Arabidopsis thaliana: one gene and its partners. The protein of the gene in region 2 interacts with the protein of the main gene of each other region in a pairwise test. Each region holds a gene or a part of one and is shown on either strand. Other genes may lie near its edges.

What was found. Proteins that work in one complex are often made in the same cells at the same time.
Region 1: the proteins of AT1G75140 (region 2) and AT2G36430 interact in a protein complementation assay, tested with the Arabidopsis thaliana proteins (one large-scale study listed by BioGRID).
Region 3: the proteins of AT1G75140 (region 2) and AT5G47530 interact in a protein complementation assay, tested with the Arabidopsis thaliana proteins (one large-scale study listed by BioGRID).

The regions. Positions count from the first base shown.
Region 1 is NC_003071.7:15,287,200-15,292,896, reverse strand, and holds AT2G36430 (transmembrane protein, putative (DUF247)), read right to left. Parts: upstream 2,923-5,697; 5' UTR 2,687-2,922; coding exon 1,340-2,686; 3' UTR 1,134-1,339; downstream 1-1,133. Other genes in the region: AT2G36440 (uncharacterized protein), read right to left, coding at 25-249; TRM27 (nucleolin-like protein), read right to left, coding at 3,907-4,364, 4,475-4,673.
Region 2 is NC_003070.9:28,200,643-28,206,851, forward strand, and holds AT1G75140 (uncharacterized protein), read right to left. Parts: upstream 3,721-6,209; 5' UTR 3,378-3,720; coding exon 1,524-3,377; 3' UTR 1,411-1,523; downstream 1-1,410. Other genes in the region: CYP721A1 (cytochrome P450, family 721, subfamily A, polypeptide 1), read right to left, coding at 1-289, 382-626, 781-1,269; AT1G75150 (DNA ligase-like protein), read right to left, coding at 4,067-4,096, 4,216-4,479, 4,554-4,706, 4,835-4,887, 4,989-5,091, 5,238-5,844, 6,101-6,209.
Region 3 is NC_003076.8:19,278,471-19,284,194, reverse strand, and holds AT5G47530 (Auxin-responsive family protein), read right to left. Parts: upstream 2,822-5,724; 5' UTR 2,725-2,821; coding exon 2,098-2,724; intron 1,969-2,097; coding exon 1,714-1,968; intron 1,631-1,713; coding exon 1,325-1,630; 3' UTR 1,134-1,324; downstream 1-1,133. Other genes in the region: AT5G47540 (Mo25 family protein), read left to right, coding at 13-72, 190-258, 348-446, 524-568, 658-760, 854-930. UniProt on the Arabidopsis thaliana protein: May act as a catecholamine-responsive trans-membrane electron transporter.

The sequences.
Region 1 (5,697 bases), on a different chromosome or scaffold from region 2:
GAATTTGAATATTTGGTAATTGTTTTATTTCTTCTGTTCGTCATCTTCTCCTCCCACCAAGATGTTAACCGTACGTACTTTGAATCTCTCAAGCTTCTCGATGACCTCCTCAACTAGACTGCCCCCTCGGTAACGCGTCGTGTGAATATGAGTGTGCCTTTCAATTTGGTGATCTCGAGGCATCTCTTTATGATCTATCTGCCTTTGAAATTCGTCTGACCTGCTAGTGATCGATGTTTTGCCGCTCATTATTGCGTTCGTGTAAAAACGAGAATGATTTCACAAAATGACGAGCTTGGAAACGATATTTAAGATGAAGGAGAATATCAAAAGTATATTTGGATTGTGTGTAGTTGTGGAATTTATGTATGTTTCTTGAAAAATGTGTATTGGATTGTGTGTTTATATATGCATTGCGGCTTGCTTAAGTTAAGACATTATTTGAAGAAGAAGAAATTACGACCGAGTCTTTTTCGAGAGACTTGGTAAAAAGAAACTCAAACATAGTTATTTCGAGAGTCGTGGGAAAAGTCTTCAGTACTCATACTCGGATTCCCCTCTTCGCATGTTTGATCATTTTTATGGATGATTTCTATATATTAATATTCAAAATAAATCATTTGTCTAAACAAAGTTTTTAACGTTCATAGCAGAGGGAAATTAGTCCTGATAGATAGATTTACGTTAACACATTATCACGACAAGATTGCATTCTTTAATTCAATATTTAGAATGAAGCACCGAATCAATTTTTTTATTTTTATGCATTGATTATGTAAAAGTACTAAATATTTGGTCAGAAAGTTCCAGATATGGAAATAAAATATGTGTCAAATGTTATTATGTTAGTTACAGGAAATTACCAAAAGTCCAGGGTTTTACTATTCACTTTGATTTATGAAGCATGAGCTGTTCGTTGACTGAAACATTGAGGATCGTTGACATTTCTACTAAATTGACCAATTCCTGCAGTCAACCTATCAAACAAACACGTATTTTTGCTAATAATTGAACCCTTTATTTATTGAATTATAGAATAGTTGTCATTAATATTTATAACTCTCTTGATACACAATCTCATCTCGTATAATCTTTTAATAATGTAAACCAATTTTTCTGGAAAAAAAATATATCATACATGATACATCTCAACATCATTTATTTATTACTCGAAAAACACTATCGATGCATGTTTGGACAACTAATCCCAACAAACACATAATTGTACTACTCAATAATAGAAGTAGGGTTTTAAATACACGAATTCTCATTTTACTTCATTAAATCATATCAACACATTTGTTTGAACTGCAATATAATAATGAAAAGGTTGAAAAATTTATTTTTGATAAGCCTGGAAAACAGTGTAAATAGTCTGGATAACGGACAAGACCAAAAGAACAAGAGCAGCAAGAGCAGAGACAAAAGACCAAGGAGAGTTAAAGTAAGTGAATTTGAAAGTAGCCCATTCCACGTGCCAACTACTCTTGTAATACTCATTCACTTCTTCAAACAAGTCTTTGAGATAACACTGTGTTATGTCGAACGCCACATCTCTGCCTAAACTGTTCACGAATTTCGCCAGCTCTGTATCTGTTCCGAAATAGTTTTCTATGATGTTTTGGTCGCATAGATACTCAACGTCCTTGTAAGTATTCGTCAGACAATCTAGGAGCGTCGCGTATGTCGTGAAATGCATTGAGCACGCCACGTGGCATTGCTCGTATGCCACGCAGTTCTCTAAGAAACTGCTCATGAAATCGTCGACGGTGATCGCCGGCATCTCGATGGTCCCGTGTCTGAATCTCACCACTAAGAAGCTCTCTGCGTCTTTCAGCTCTCGGAGTTTGATCCCGGCTCGCCGGAGCTTCGAAATGCTGTGGATAATGTGGGACGGCATCTTTTCCTTCCCTGGATTCGTTGCCGGCGGCGTGTGAAGCTCACTCTCCGGGATGAAACTTGACCGGAGGAGGTCGAGGAGGTGTTTGGCTCTTAGCTCTTTGAACCTGGCGAGATCTTCCTCTGTTCTGTGCATCATGTTGTTGAAAAACGCAAACGCTAGAGATTGTAAAGAAGCGTTTGTCTCGTTTTCGTTGTCTCCTCTTGTGAGATTGAACAAAGTTTCTAGAACGAAGAAAGGGATTTGATTCTCAAGACAGAGAAAATCTCTGTAGAAGAAAGGAAGAACCCAAGCCATGGCCACAAGTGGATCGTTTGGTTCGAAAGGAACAAGATTGTTCACTTTGCGAAACAGCTCAAGGAGAAAGCAACCGTCAAGAACCATCATCTCGTTGAACTCTTCCGAGTCCATGTGGATTGTCTCGGAGTAACATTCTCTCGCCACTTCCTCAACGTTCTTCACGCTCTTCATGTAATCCTCTAGAGTTAGGTTTTGGGTTCTAGTGAGCAGAACGTTTAGGTAACGCCATTTGTGTTCTTCAATCATTTTGAGTTGTGTTTGGCCACGGTGGTACGGTCCAATCGAGACCACTCGTGGCTCATAGCATCTTCCATTACAATCAATCATGCTCTGAGGTACCCGGAAGATGGAGCAAGTAGGTTTCCCGGCGGCCGAACTGAGCAACCGTGGTGGTTCCTTCAGCTTCTTATGCATCCTCTCAATGTGGATCTTGAGGAGGCTTTCTCCCTCGGAGGTAGAAGGTGGTTGCTCCGCCGCATCCACCATTTTGATTGGTGTGAAATTAATGGAAATGATCTATAAAAAAGTGATAAGGGGTAGTTTTGGGACTAAACTGGTCTTTGTGATTGGTATATTTCTTTTGTTGGTCCACATCATCGTCACATAATGGAAGGTGGTTCATTTTAAGCTTGATATTATTTATTTAAAACTTTGATGTAGATTTTTCAATGAAGACTTAATTAATAGTCATGGTTCATGACTTGGTCCATCCATGTTCTCGCTCCGAATTGTTTTTGAAGAACTAGTAGAGATTTTTCTTAATGTTTTATCTCTAGAGTTATAAGAAAGTGATACAGTATTCCCCCAATAAACATTATATAAGATAGATAATATGTTAGAAAGTATCAGTTGGTATCACGTAAGTGTCAGGGGACAGCCATGTCCGAGTCCGAGTGAAGCCTTATTCTTAAATGTCCGAACCCGACCCTAAAATCATTATTCACAAACAAAATAATTTGGCAGTTTTTTTATATAACAAATTGTTAACAAATTTACATTTGAAATAACACAAATCAATCAATCCGTTTGTAAATTGGTATTTTCAGTAATAATATTACTAATTTGACATAATATCATGTATAACAAACCAATCCATATAAAAAAGAACATATGTTAGGCAATGATTTTAAGCAAAAATATGTTGGTAATATAAAAACAGAAGATAATACTATGTAGTAGAGATATATATTGTTGTAACGTGTTACGTTCATACGTATGACTAAATAACAATAAATACGTATATCAAAATGAAATTTCATTCGTTCGTGAGGAACACGCAATTCAGACGTGGGTACCTTTCCTAGTCCTTCAATGTGAGTTTTTTTAATTAGGCATGAAAATTGTATAGGCATGATCTAATTTGTTTTGGGAGTATGAATGATCAACCAGATAAACCAAACCAAATCAAATAACCTAAAGCGTATAGTTGTTTGGGAAAGAAGAAAAAGCGTATAGTAGCTTTGGGGGGAAAAAAGGAAGCGTATATATAGTTGGTTAAGGCTTTGAGCAAAATAAAATTTCCTAGTACTAGCTTGGCATAAGCCAATGGTCGCTTATCGTTGTGACTTGTGACTTTTTCTAGAAGCGTTTTAAGTGATAAGAAAACACAGGGTAAACGTTATAAAGGTTATTCTGGTTTATCAAGTCAATGATATCTAAAAATCTACTAATTTTTCTCGTGTCTCTTAACAAAATTCATTATTTGTTCATAGAAAAGAAGAGACAAGTTCGCGGGAAAATTCATCAATCAAGACGAAGAAGATAGAGTGCTCGAGATCGGACACAGCCTCTTCCACTTCTCCACCGTGTCTTGTCCATTCTCCGGCCTCCTCTCTCAAATCTTTCCGCACCACCGCGTCCACGTCTTCCTCAGCTCCCAACCCTACCCTCCATGCATTCATCATCCTCCACTTCTTTTGCCTCTCATCATTCTTCTTCCTCTTCTCATCTTCCGCGCATCTGCTCTCTCGTGCCATCGCTTCATCCACGTCCTCATATTCTTCATCTGAATCGTAAATCCTAATGTTATCATCTTCCTCGCTCTCCTCATACTCTTCCTCTTCTTCATCTTCTTCTTCCGACATTTTCCCTTCAAGCTCCACAGGATCCAGCCCCGCTAACTTCTCGAATCTACGAAGCTTCTTGAGTAACCGCCTTTTAGCCCCTGTTTAGTCAAAACATACAACATTAAAACCCTTAAAACGATCTCCGGGACCAGTTTGTATTCAATTACTTTGGCCCATTATTTGATGTGATGGAAGATTGGATACTCACGTTGTACAATTTCAAAGCTGCAAGAGAGGTTATTGGGAGGATCAGGCTCGTGTTGGTGGTGGTCCTCGTCCTCCTCCTCCTCCTCAAGAGGGTCAAGTACAGAGACAGGGCTACATTGTTCCTTGTCTTCCTCTTCTTTATCTTCTTCTTCTTGTCCTCTCACTTTCTCTAAGCTCTCTGTCTCATCGCTATCTTCGTCCTGTTACAACTCATTTAACACACTTTTGGTTTCAACATTTTTTGTCTCTTACTATTTCTGGCGCTGGATCACTACTATTTTTAGCAATTCAAATTTATATCCTCATGGCACTACTTTACGTGCCCATTAAGGGTTTCTCCATGTTACCTATATATATATTTTCGGAACACTACTTTTTTTTACTATGCATTTTTTTTTAAAACTACAACCACAAAGTAGGGTAAATTTAACTTTTGAATTTTGTAAACATACCAATTAATACTTCCCAAAATAGATCCCAACTTTTTGACAAAACATTGAAACTTTTTGGCGAAAGTTAATGACATTCTCAGAGTTTGTAGCTAATAATTGCAAAAGGTTTGGTCTACATTAAGACTTAACCCACTGAAATTAAAAGGAGTAGAAAAATGTGTTTCTGGTAATTTGCCAGAAAATTAATTGGTTTGAAAACTTCGAAGTTGAACTAGCTAGAGAGCGCAATAATCGTCAGTGTGGGGAACGTTGACCAGATGATTGTAAATGACATAAGCACCCCCACCATAACCAAGCTCTACGATAGATTTTCACTCGGAAATAGGGGCATATCCGTCATCTAAAGTAAAACATATTTACGGTACTTCCTGAAAAACTTTCATGATTCAGTCATATCAAACAGACAATTTTCAGCCGGCCATGTGTCTCTGCTCTAATCAGAAGATGTTTTTTCTGTTTTTCCATAGAATGTTTTTTTACTTTCTCTTTTTTACTGTATGGTAATTTATTTAATTATGGATTAGTAGTGGATTTATTTAGAATAATTGAGAAAAAAATTCTAAAAATTTAATTATCTTTTCCAAAAATAAGTTAAATCTTCCAAATGTTTTTTAAATTATACAAGTTGCTTATATATAAAATTTAAGAGTTAGGATATCATTTCGAGTTTAAATGAGAAGTTTAAATTTAAAGTACTTAATTAATTAAAATTTAAACTATTTTTTAGTTTTGTTATAAAATTTAGAGTACATAATTGTCCATAATTTAGACT
Region 2 (6,209 bases):
AATGTTTTGCCATTCTTGGTTCATAGCTAAGAGGACTAAAACAAACGTCATAAGGTTAGCAGTTGTTTCCTTAGCTGCAAAGTAGAACGTTTTGCATTCATCTGTAACTTCTTCTATCCCAAGCTTCTCTTCTTGACCATTCTGATTTGTGTAAGGAGACATAAAAGCCTGAAGCAGAGTTCCTGATTTCTCAACAGCTGTTTTATTGTTTTCGATCAGTTTCAAGATAGAAACACGGATTTGCTTCTCAATTCTCCATATCTCTCTATTCGTCTTCGAAGGAAAGAATCTAAAACCACCATTCAAAACTCAAAAAGTGAGCAATAAGGTTCTAGTTCCAAACTTGTTCTCAAAACTAGGAAAATTTCCCATAAGACTTACCTGAATCCTGGGATATAAACGCTCCATCGAACCAGATAAAAAAGACGCATCATACGCTCCTGCAATTCAAAGATTCCTTTCCCTTCTTCCACGCTGTTCCCAAAAGCTGTTCTTGATAACATTTCTGCAGACAAATTGTGCATCTCTTTGTGTACCTCTAACTCAATCTCTTCTCCTCCGTTTCTCATATCTTCCCACTTCTCCATCAACATCATAGTACTTGTTACCATTTGTGGCACCCACCTCTATAAAAGAAAAAAAGATCTTAGCTTTAGCCACAATCCTATAAAGCACTCCGGATTTGGTAATTTTTAAACTAAACTAGACTGAGATTCCAAATAGCACAATGTTGTCTGAATTACAGATCTTAGCTTCTACATTGATGTGTGTTAGTGTTACCTTGAGTTTCTCCATTGTAAAAGCTTGTTTGGCGATTCTTCTATGGAAAGCCCATTGATCACCTCTAAGACCAGGAAGACCTTGAGCATAAAGCAGCTTAGACAAAGGGTTATGCCCAATTCGGTCAAACGACCCACCCGTCGTCAAAGCTTCCCGGATTAGTCTTGGATCCGACGTAGCCACCACAGGTTTCGACCCGAACCAGTAGAGGAACGTCTTCCCGTAGACACGTGACCATTCGTGGTAGTGAGGCGCCACACGGTGGACGAACTCATGAGGATTTCTCCCGGAAGGAATCGGCTTTGACTTCGCCTCCGCCGTTAGCCGGCTAACCTCGCCGGAGTTTCCACTGAATATCCGGTAACTAGGACCCGTCACGCTCTGCTTCTTGAAGTGAGATTGGATTCTCCACGGAACCCATATATTACTGTAGATGAATCTGAAGACAAGGAAGAAAAAGACCAAGACCAAGATGAAGAACACTGCCATATCTTGACGTGTTAACCTCAAGTCTCTCTCTGGTTCAGTTTCATTTATTTGATCTTGAATTTTTTTTAATCTGTTCTTAATCTTGAGATTGTGAAAATTACAGTTAAGAAGCATTAAACTAACAATAAGTGACCGGAGAAGAAACAAAGCAACCGGTAAAAATTTTATTTCTTCGCCGGAGTTTTACACATTAGAAAATTTTCAAGCGTTGACCGGTAAAAAAAGAACATAACGAACTATGAAAAAAAAAGGAACTAACTTTCGTCGTCTAAAGCTTTGTTATTACCAAACAAACTCTCTCTTCTTTTACCAAATCCGCCAGAATCAAGACCTGACCCACCACGATACTTCATCTCCTGTGCGGTTGTTCTGTAGTTAGTAGTTTCCACTGGAGCTCTTGAGCTCGGGTCGTTAGACCCTACTGAACGGTAAGCACCTGTTGCTGCTCCAGGAGGATACCGAGATGGCGAAACGTATCTTCTCCGAAGATCCATGTGGTCGTCGTTTCTCCTAGTTGATTCAGAGAATGCGGAACTATTTTGTGCAGTTGTTGTAGAAGAAGAAGACATTGTCGTGGAGGAGAAAGGATCGTCAGGTCCCCAAGCTGTGAGAGATTCTTTCTTCTTAGAGAAAAAATGCCAAGCGCCGAATAAGAAAAGTATGAAGAAGAAGACAGGACTGCTCCAAAGCATTGTGTTGAATTCTGCTTTGGAGATTGGAAGCTTTGATTTGTATGTAGCTACGTATCCGTCTCCTAAACCCATCACAAGCAGCTTTTCGCGGTCGCTTGCTATTAAAGGAGTTACCTTTTCTAGCTTCTGGTGATCTGTGGTTTTAGTTGATTCTCGATGGCTCAAGAACGTTGACCTGATATCTTCTAATGCAGCCGGAAAAAGAAGCCGAGGACCCGTGGTTCGGACGTAGTGTTGAGTCGATACATTGTATACAAAGACTTTCTCTTGGTTGACTATAAGTAGATAGCCTTTGATGGCTTGTAACGCTACAGGCTCCTCCATTTGTACCTTCTTCTTTGATCTCACTCTACATTTGAAGTTCATAATGTCTCCGAGAAGCAACACGTGAATGATTTCGCCTTCGGATGTGAATCCATAAGCTTTAGCCCGTTCGGACGCATCAAAAACATAACTTCTTGCTAGAGAATGGTTAAGACCTTCACACTCAGATTCCCTGATCTTCATGCTTCTTAAGTCCAATGAACCAGCACCAGTCTCAGTGAGAAACAAAAGCCTCTGCTTCAAGAACACAAGCGGTCTACTCGTTGGGCTAACAGAGCCATAAACCGTTCTGTTCTCAGTGAAAACCGTAAGCTTTCCGCTAAGATCTGTCGCCAATATATACCTAACCCGACCCACATGATGCACTTCCAATAGAGTCACTTGCAAACCATCCTCCGTGCCATCAAACTTGCCAACATTTTCCATCACAGCGGAATTCAAATCTTCCCCGATCGAGCCCTCTCGGAGTCTATGCAACAAGATGACTCCGCTTTGGTGTCCCGTCACCACAAAGCTCTCATTCTTATACACAGACATGTAAGACACCATTGCCGTGATTGGTGAATCGCAGGTGGTGAAAAACTCAACCAAAACATCGCCATTTCTCAAGAAGACAAAAACCCTACCACTTGAATCTCCAACTGCGAAATACTTGCTTAAACCTTCGTGATCTCGAAACGGTAACACGTTGATACAAGTCGCTTCAGAGTCTAATTTCACAGCTGATGTGAATTCGAATCTCTCAGACCAGAAAGGACTATACTTTGTAACGGAAAAAGCCTTAGCTTTCTCTTCGATCTCATCACGAGTGATCTCTTTCTTTACCTTAAACGGAGTTTCAGATAACTTAGCGTCTAATCTAGCAACTAGTTCCGTAAGATTCCTAACGAGTTCCTCAAGTCTATGCAATGAAACACCTTGCCTGTCGGATTCACTGCTGGTCACTACTCCAGGAGAAGCATCTGAGTTCTCGTACGGAATCGGATCGGACTCGGAAGCGGTGACATCCGAATAAGACGGCGAAAGGAAAAGCAAAATAAGCGAGACAAAGAAGAAGAAAAATGCGGACTTGCCGTTTTGAGAATCCGCCATTCAAGATGGTAAGAAAAGAAGCAGAAAGGTCTCCCTTTTATTTTCCTGAAGTCAATCAGTAACCGCCATTTATGCAGATCTACAGGAGATGGAGAAATTCGGATCTGGAAGGAAGACGATTTATCCGGTCAGAATCTATCTGAGATTTTCTTTTGTAAGTCAAACAACGTTGAGCTAAGAGTAATAAAATAAAGTTGTCTGATTTGAGATCTTTTTGTGTCCGAAACTCTATAGTCTCTGGTCTTCTTCTTCAGTCTCAACGAAGCTTAAGGGGAAGAAAGGAGATATATCCTTACGATTTTAATCTTTGGGATGAAAGAAAAGTCACCAGGTTAAGATATTTATTCAGTAAATTACAACATGTGATAAAAACTGTTTGCTTTAATGGATGTTAGTTGAATGATTCTTGAATAGAATCCTATCCATTATAAAGAAATAGTATAGTGTAGACATTGAATATATAAAACAAAACTTTGAATAGAAAATTCTGATCTCAATCTCTAAGAAAAGATTCGAATGACTAAGACGGACGATCTAATCTCTCGCTAAAGTCTCTGTAGTTACAGCAACCAACCTATGTACTTGAGAATCGAGACTGAGTCTGATCAGATAAAGGCCAAAACGCGCGGTCCTACGCCGTTTTGGTGGCCACATGTTAACAAAAAGGGTCACGATCCAGTGATTCACGTTCATTCACCACACGTGCCGTTGCATTGCAACTGTGCAAGACAAAATCTCTGAATTCATCTCTTTTCCTGTTAAATATTCCATTTTACTTGGAGAAATGGAGATCTGATTATACAAGAATAACATTCAATTAGAGGAAGAGGGAGTTTACTTGTGGATTTGTCTTAACTGGTTTCTTATCCAGTTTGAAAGCAGCAAATATAGACTCAGTGTGGTTGCTGCTTATCATTGTCTCGCGTGAATTGAAGGAAGTTTTCTTTGATGACATCTTTAGAATCTCGTACAAGGTTGATCGTTGCCTCGTGCTCGTCTCCTTCTCCACCACCGTCGCCTGTAATGTTGTTGATCTCTCTTGTGACTGTGAGGCAGTGAATTTTGCTGGAGCTCTTTTTGGTCGGCTTTTTTCTTGAATAATCTGCATAGGTTATTAAGAAGGTATTTAAATATGTGTACCAGAAATGTGTATGTTTATATAGGGAAGAGCTTTACCGTCTCTGGAACTGAAGGTTCCTCTGCCACTGAATTTGAGCTTTTGCTGTTACTGTCATCGCGTTCGAATATATAGCCACGTACAACATTTGAACCGCGCTTGCGAGATCCTTCTGATATGGAACTCTTTGTAAGTCTACCCAAGAACGATGACTGCAAAAGATTCACGGCATTAGTAAAGTTGCAATTCATTGTCCTATTTTTAAGAAGTCTCAAAGTGTGACCTATCTAGTATCTACGAACTTTATTGGTATACGAAAGTAACTGAAGAAGGCTTATACCTTGGATGCTGCAGGGTTTTTGTTTATTTCCATGAGTGCCCTCTCTTTAAAAGCTGAAAACAATTTAAACAAAATGGTTAGAAGCAATCAGCAATGTGTGTATAAACTCAGCTGATGATTACAAATACAGGGAGAAACTTGGGTGGTATCTTACAAGAAGGTTTTGCTTTCTTCTTGATCTCAGGCTTCTTGATGTGGCGAAGAATTTCTTCAGAGTTTTCATCCGCAGTGGATGATGAAGACTTGGCCTTTAGCTCCTGTTCCAAACAACAATGATCCATATTAATGGGGCAGCACAAGCGAAACATCAAACAAGCTTTTCAATCTTTACTATATAGAGAGGTATGGTGGATCAAATGATAAAATATGGAGCAGACAGGGCTATTGAACCGGGATCACTTACCATTTTCTTGTACAGTCGCTGTTGCAGAAGCTTCTTTTCCATTTCCTCATCGTCTGATGACACATAAACATCATCTTCATCTGTGAACATTAAAGGGATCATTTCCTTTATTTTCTTTATGGTCATTCGCATGGAATTTGCATGACTTGGATCTTCTTCATCTTCATCTTCATCTTCATCTTCATTGGCTTCAGGTTTTTGCACTTCTTCACCATCAGCACCTTCAGGCCTCTCTTCATCATCATCATCAACATCGTCATCTTCATCTTCAGACAATAATGTTTCATCATGCTGCACACCACGTTTAAGCTTCTGTAAGAGTTTCTCTGTCCCTGCAGCATCTTGTTGCTCGAGCCACTTCTGATGCAGTTCATTACGTCTATCTTTATCAGTTGGATCTTCCTTAAATTGACTGACAATCATATCCCTGAGATCATCATCGTCTTCATCTTCGTCATCATCCTCATCCTCAAATCGGAGTAAATCATTGTCACTGTCATCTTCCTCTTCAGCATCCTCATCAATAAATTTTCTAACAGGGTCGCCAGGAGAATCATGGATCTCCGGATCAGAATTTCCCTTTATGTACTCTGCTTCTTCGGAAGATCTGCAGATGTGGATTAGTTATTGCATGGAAAGCAAAGTATACACAGTATAACTTAACATTACAGAAACAATTGGCTCTTCTGGTCATATCACAGAACACAAGCTATTCATATACTGAAAGTAACATCTGTCCATAATATTCTTATGAACATGTAAAGACTGCGTTTTGAGAAGCTTGCCAATATTAGATAGACGAGCAAATCAAAGTTATAGTCAATTCAGTTTTCGCATGTAACCACATCTAAAGATAGACTCACTTGTCAGGCACAGGAGACAGGTTTAGTTTGAGGTTCATGGCAACTACCGACGGTGTCATTACTTCTTCCAAAGATCTGCTTGACATCTTCTCAAGAAGTTCATCTCCAG
Region 3 (5,724 bases), on a different chromosome or scaffold from region 2:
TTATTTTCACAGGAACTGCTGACAAGGCATAAGTCTACTGTTGCCGAGTTTCTCACCAAGAATGAAGACTGGGTAAGTTATGTAGCAACAATGCACTATGATATATGCTTGAAGACAGAACATTGTAATTTATCCTCTGCAGGTCCTGCGTTCAAGTCGTATAATAATCTCAAACTTTTTGGTTTGCAGTTTTTCGCAGACTACAACTCAAAGCTTCTTGAATCAAGTAATTATATAACCAGACGGCAAGCTATTAAGGTAGGCTAACTTATACAAGAATCTAAAACATTGAAATGATGGTACTGGCTGATCAATCTTATGTACTGTATGGTGTAAATGTTAAACAGTTGTTGGGTGATATATTATTGGATCGATCAAATTCAGCTGTGATGACGAAATATGTGAGCTCGAGGGATAACTTGAGGATTCTCATGAATCTTCTAAGAGTACGATGCTTTACTCTCCGTTTTTTTGTTCTTGATTATAATAGTTTGGGAAATAAACTCAATCGCTTGAATTACAGGAGTCAAGCAAGAGTATCCAAATAGAAGCATTCCATGTCTTTAAGGTACCTACATTAACGAGATGTAACATAATGATGATTGTCACTTGTCAGTCCAACGTGATTGTACTGAGATTATCGTCACTGTTGTGCAGCTGTTTGCAGCGAACCAAAACAAGCCTGCGGATATAGTCAACATTCTGGTGGCCAACAGAAGCAAGCTTCTGAGATTGTTGGCTGATTTGAAACCAGACAAAGGTATGAAACTAATCTTGTTAAGTGAAACGCTTGTATCCGATCCTTCTGCTCCTTAACCTTATTAAAGCATTGTTTGGTTCATTTGGTTGACAGAGGATGAGAGGTTTGAAGCAGACAAAAGTCAGGTTTTGAGAGAAATCGCAGCCCTTGAACCTCGAGATCTTGCTTGAACCAACTAATGCAATTCATCCTTCCTTCCCTTTTAAAACACTCGAAAAGACATTTTTGAAGCATCTTGTTGTTTTTTTACATTAGGTAACCAATCTTCCTCTCACTTTCTCACCACACACACACACACACACACACACACACACACACATACACATACGAGATATCTATTCGATATATGTATTCATATGTACACTACTTCACTGTCGATGAAATAAAATGGTTTGTCAAAAGCTCACATCATGAATGTTGTAAAAGAGCACAAGAGTCTTTCAACTTCAACAACTATTAAACATCAAATGTATTAACTTAATCTCGAAAACAAACAAAAATTAACAACCACAAGCCCATAATGACCAAATAAACCAGAACATTTTACTCTAATCTTTACAGAGTCTACACGTATAGAGACCGACCATCGTTGCCTACTCGTTGACTTGTTTTCGCAGATGCCTCTGCTTTCCCTCTCTTTATGACTACATACCAAGTAAACCCTTCGAGCACAACCGCGACTATACCTAGTACTACGATTATGGCGGTGTAAGCGTTTCTCCACTGCTTCTCAGGGCTCAGGATGTCTAGTCCTTTAAAAACGTTTACCACCGCAAGAATGATCACTGAATAGCCTACAGTGTGGTGATAAATGTTCCAGTAGACTCTGTACTTGTGCTCTGGTTTGGGTCTCAAAAACATTGCAAACACCTAACGTGTGAAACAAGCAACTTAGTAATTGCAACATATTCATGACAAGTGTAATACTCTCTGTACTGTTAACTAAAACCTACCTGAATTGTTGCGAGGCAGAAGAGAGCGATCCCAACAGCACGGTGAAAGGTAAACTGAATCCCGGCTGATTCGTTGCCCAGTTTGAGACCGGTCGCCCAACCGGCAACACCAATGATGTAAGCAGAAGACTGGCAGAAAACATGAAGGTAGAACCAAGCAGGATCTGCTGATTTTGAGACTTTCAAGTAGCGAGCAATGATTGCTCCTATTGGCATCATTATACCCCAGCTCACACCGTTCAATATTCCATGTATCTGCAATAATGATTAGGAGTGATAAGTTTCATAAAACCAACTAACAATGATGGGATTGATAAATCTCATTTCATATGTGAGATTCCTAAAAAACATGAAATGAAGAAATTGATAAAACCATGGACTCACGTTGCGTTTGCGTAGCTTGGAAGCTCCTCCTGCTCCGGTAGAGGTGGATCCAGATGCACCAGAGACAAGGTTAAGAGTAGAAACAGAACGAACATTGTTGCCAGAAGTTGGATGAGGCAGAGGATTGTTCCCTGACAGTGACCCATCTTGCCACACAGTGTTAATGATTCCACCATTCGCAAGTGGAAGATTCAGAATTGCGTAGATGACCATCTCGTTGTTTTGGTAAGTGGCAGACAACTGAGAGACGTTGAAACTCAGCTCAGCTTCTAGGAGACTCGTTTGGTAGCTACTGATGGGTGACGTATAAGCCCTAACGGTGCCGTCTGATTGTGGATAAGCCACAATGGCTTGAGCTCCGACCATGCCAGTAGATGTGGGATTCACGGCCCATGCCACCCATTTCCCGGGGGTGAGCTTTGTGTGGCGATACGCGATTTGGAGATTGCCTGAAGAAGAATCGTAAGTGTAGTGGAGGAAGGAATCAAGAACAGGTAGGTCGTTGCAAGACTCAAAGAGACGGTTGGTGGAGAATTTGTAGTTGGAACATTTCTGAGCCAAGGCGGATTTGGTGATGATGAAAATGAAAAGAGAGAGACAAAGGAGAAGATTTGAGGATATGGCCATGGAAACAGAATCTCGAGTAATGATTAAAAGATGGATGAATGATAAGATTTAAGTATGAAGGGGAAGAGAGGAGAATGAGATTAAGTATGAATAGAAAGTGGAACAAGTAGGGTTTGGTTTGTTAGTTAATCTGTCTTAATACAGAATCTCTAATTCTCTTCACACGTGTCCTTTTTTCATAGTTTAATCTTTCTTTTAATCCTCTGCTTTTGTTCTTGTTCATCTATCAATTGCAATGTTTTACCTAAGAGTAAAAAATAGAAACATTATAAATGAAGCGTTCATTGTTTTCCCAAAAAGGTTTGACGTGTAATGTATTTCTTCCTTAAGAGTCTTTAACCCTCTCAAGCAAAAACCAAGAAATAAAAATATGAAGGGGTCATCTTCACGTTCAAAAACCAGTTCACACCAACTTTATTACGAGAACTCATTTCTCGTGTTTATTTTTTCTTTGTTTGTCATGAAAAATCTTTTTCATTGTATATAGGTTTTGTCATGACATTGCGCGTTAAGTTAGATTATAATCTTGGTACGCTTGGGAATTGGGATGATGATAAATTATTGAGCACACTAAAATATTAGGTTTCATTGGGTTTAGTGGTTCAATTGACGAAAGTAGACTAGCGAAGGGAGTAGTGGTTTTCGCGTAATAAAGGGCAAACACGTCTATGCCTGCAACTACTAACGTTGTGCATGTATGATGTACCCTAAGTAAACATCTACCACCTTATGAGTATGGACTGGAGCGGACCAGACCAACAAACTGTTTATGAGAGATTCCAATCCAAGGGAAGTGGTTGGGTTTAGCTATTTTTAGAGTTATGTTCTTCTATATATAGGCCGCGACCAACATTTCAACGGTTAAGACCATGTACATGAGTGATATTTTTAGAATATCATCAGTGTAAAAATTATTTTTTTATTAACCAAACAATTAGAATGAGTTTGATTAGTATCATTCCAGTGATTTTCTTGATATCAGTATCATCTACGTGACATCTCCTGATTGGTAGCATTTATTAAAAGTAAGAAAAAAAATATTTATCTATTAAACAAACATTATAAATAATACTAAAATTTTTTTAATGATACTTTGAGAATATCACCTATAAGCATGCTCTAACCAGGTGGATGTATAATAATGTCCTTTCTTGGTCAACGCTCAAATTACTACCTGCCACATGTCCCCCACTAGATTCTTTGGTGTAGCTGGGCTCAGTTTGAACTAGACTCTTTTATATGGGCTTAAGTGTTAATTATCAAAAAACAACCCAAAATGAGATATTTAGATATAATATGTTTTTGATGGAAAAAAAGGAAAGATATAATATGTTTTTTTGATGAATGAAAAGTATTACAATTATTCAAAAAATCACTAGTTTCCTGAAAAACAATACAAATTGCATAGTTTCAGAAGGATAATCTGATTTGGGTAGAGTTTGTTGATGTTAGAAATATAAATATTTTCTTTTATAAATAAAATAGGATGGAAAATCCATCATATTTGAAAGTTTTGTTGTGTCTAATAAATAACAGTAGAGTGTACATAATCGGTAACTTTTTTTTCCTTAACTAAAATTTTAAGTGAAACTAAAACAAAGGTGGTAAAAAAAAGTAGAGCCTATGGTAAAATAGGGTAAGAGGGTCCATAAGGGCCCAAGATGTTTTATTTTTGCTGAGCCCATTATTACCAATCCGAACCGAAATGGAAAAACTCCGGTCTCTTTCTTTCTCTCTCTCTCTGCCAGAGTTACTGCGTGTCTTTGATTTCCCAGAAGAAGGCGTTGAATCCTTTCGTTTTCCGATTCCATTTTTGGGATCTCTTGTTTCGTTTTCTTCTCTTTGGATCCATTCCATTCCCATGTTCCCCAATTTCTTTAATCGGTGTTGCTTCCACAAGGTAATTTTGTTTTCCTCTGCACTTCCCGAGAATAAAGAGAAGGTTTTTCTCAATTTTCCCCTTATGATTATCCCTGTAAATGCGAGTTTTTTGTCCTGTTTTGTCTAATGGGTCTTCATAATTCGTGATCATCAACGTTTTCTCTGTCTTGTGTGTGTATGTATGTGTGTGATCTTACATCTGACGGGAATGTAATGTGATGATCTCTCATGTAAAATTCTGTTTTTACTTGGTTTGATTGTTTCTATTACAATGCTCTGTTTTTGCTTTAAAGAGTTCTTACAATATCTCCTCCTTCTCTTTTGCGAAAATGGGTTCTTACTTGGGTTTAGTTTCTTAGGTGAAGTTTCGATTATTTTTTTGAATTGGTGTTTTATAAGTTTTGATGTCTCATCATCTTTTTCAGAAAGAAATGTGTGGCCTACTTTCATTTTCTAATGCCGTATATGAAGATTTTCATATTCAGGCAGATATTATAAACCTGCAGCAATCATTAACTCGATTCATCTTTAATGTGAGCCCTAAGGACAAGACTGAGAATTTTCTATCAGTGTTTAAGATTGCACTTTGTGTGATCAAGTGAATGAGTATTGTTGGTTGAATTGGGCCCGCGCTTGTCTTTTCTGTCTCAATTCTGTTTCTCCTTATGATAGAGAGAATATTTCTCTGCTTTCCTATTGGTGGCTTTCATGATTTGTGAATAGTCAGTATCTACCGACTTTAACTTAGATTCTTAGGGTGAGATTATAACTAAAGTTAGCTTTACTTGTTGTATATAGGCTTCATGAGCTTGTATAACAAGTTTCTCTAGGAGGTGTTAAAGAGCCAGATCAAGCTTTCAGAAGAGGTAACTTGTATTGCTGTCTTACTTTGGATCCAGAATGCGTTTATGTGCTGAATACTTTGCTTGTGATAGATTTTCTTAGGGTGGTTGAGAGCTGAAAGTTTTGATATTTAGTCAACTTTGTTCCACTGAACCTTCTAGGAAGCTACCTCAAGTAGACAGGTGATCTTAAAGATTCTCTTGTTTCTCTTAGATCTCAATCTTTACTGTTTCTCAAGTTTCCTATGCCAACTCTACTTATTCTTGTCTTCCCTCT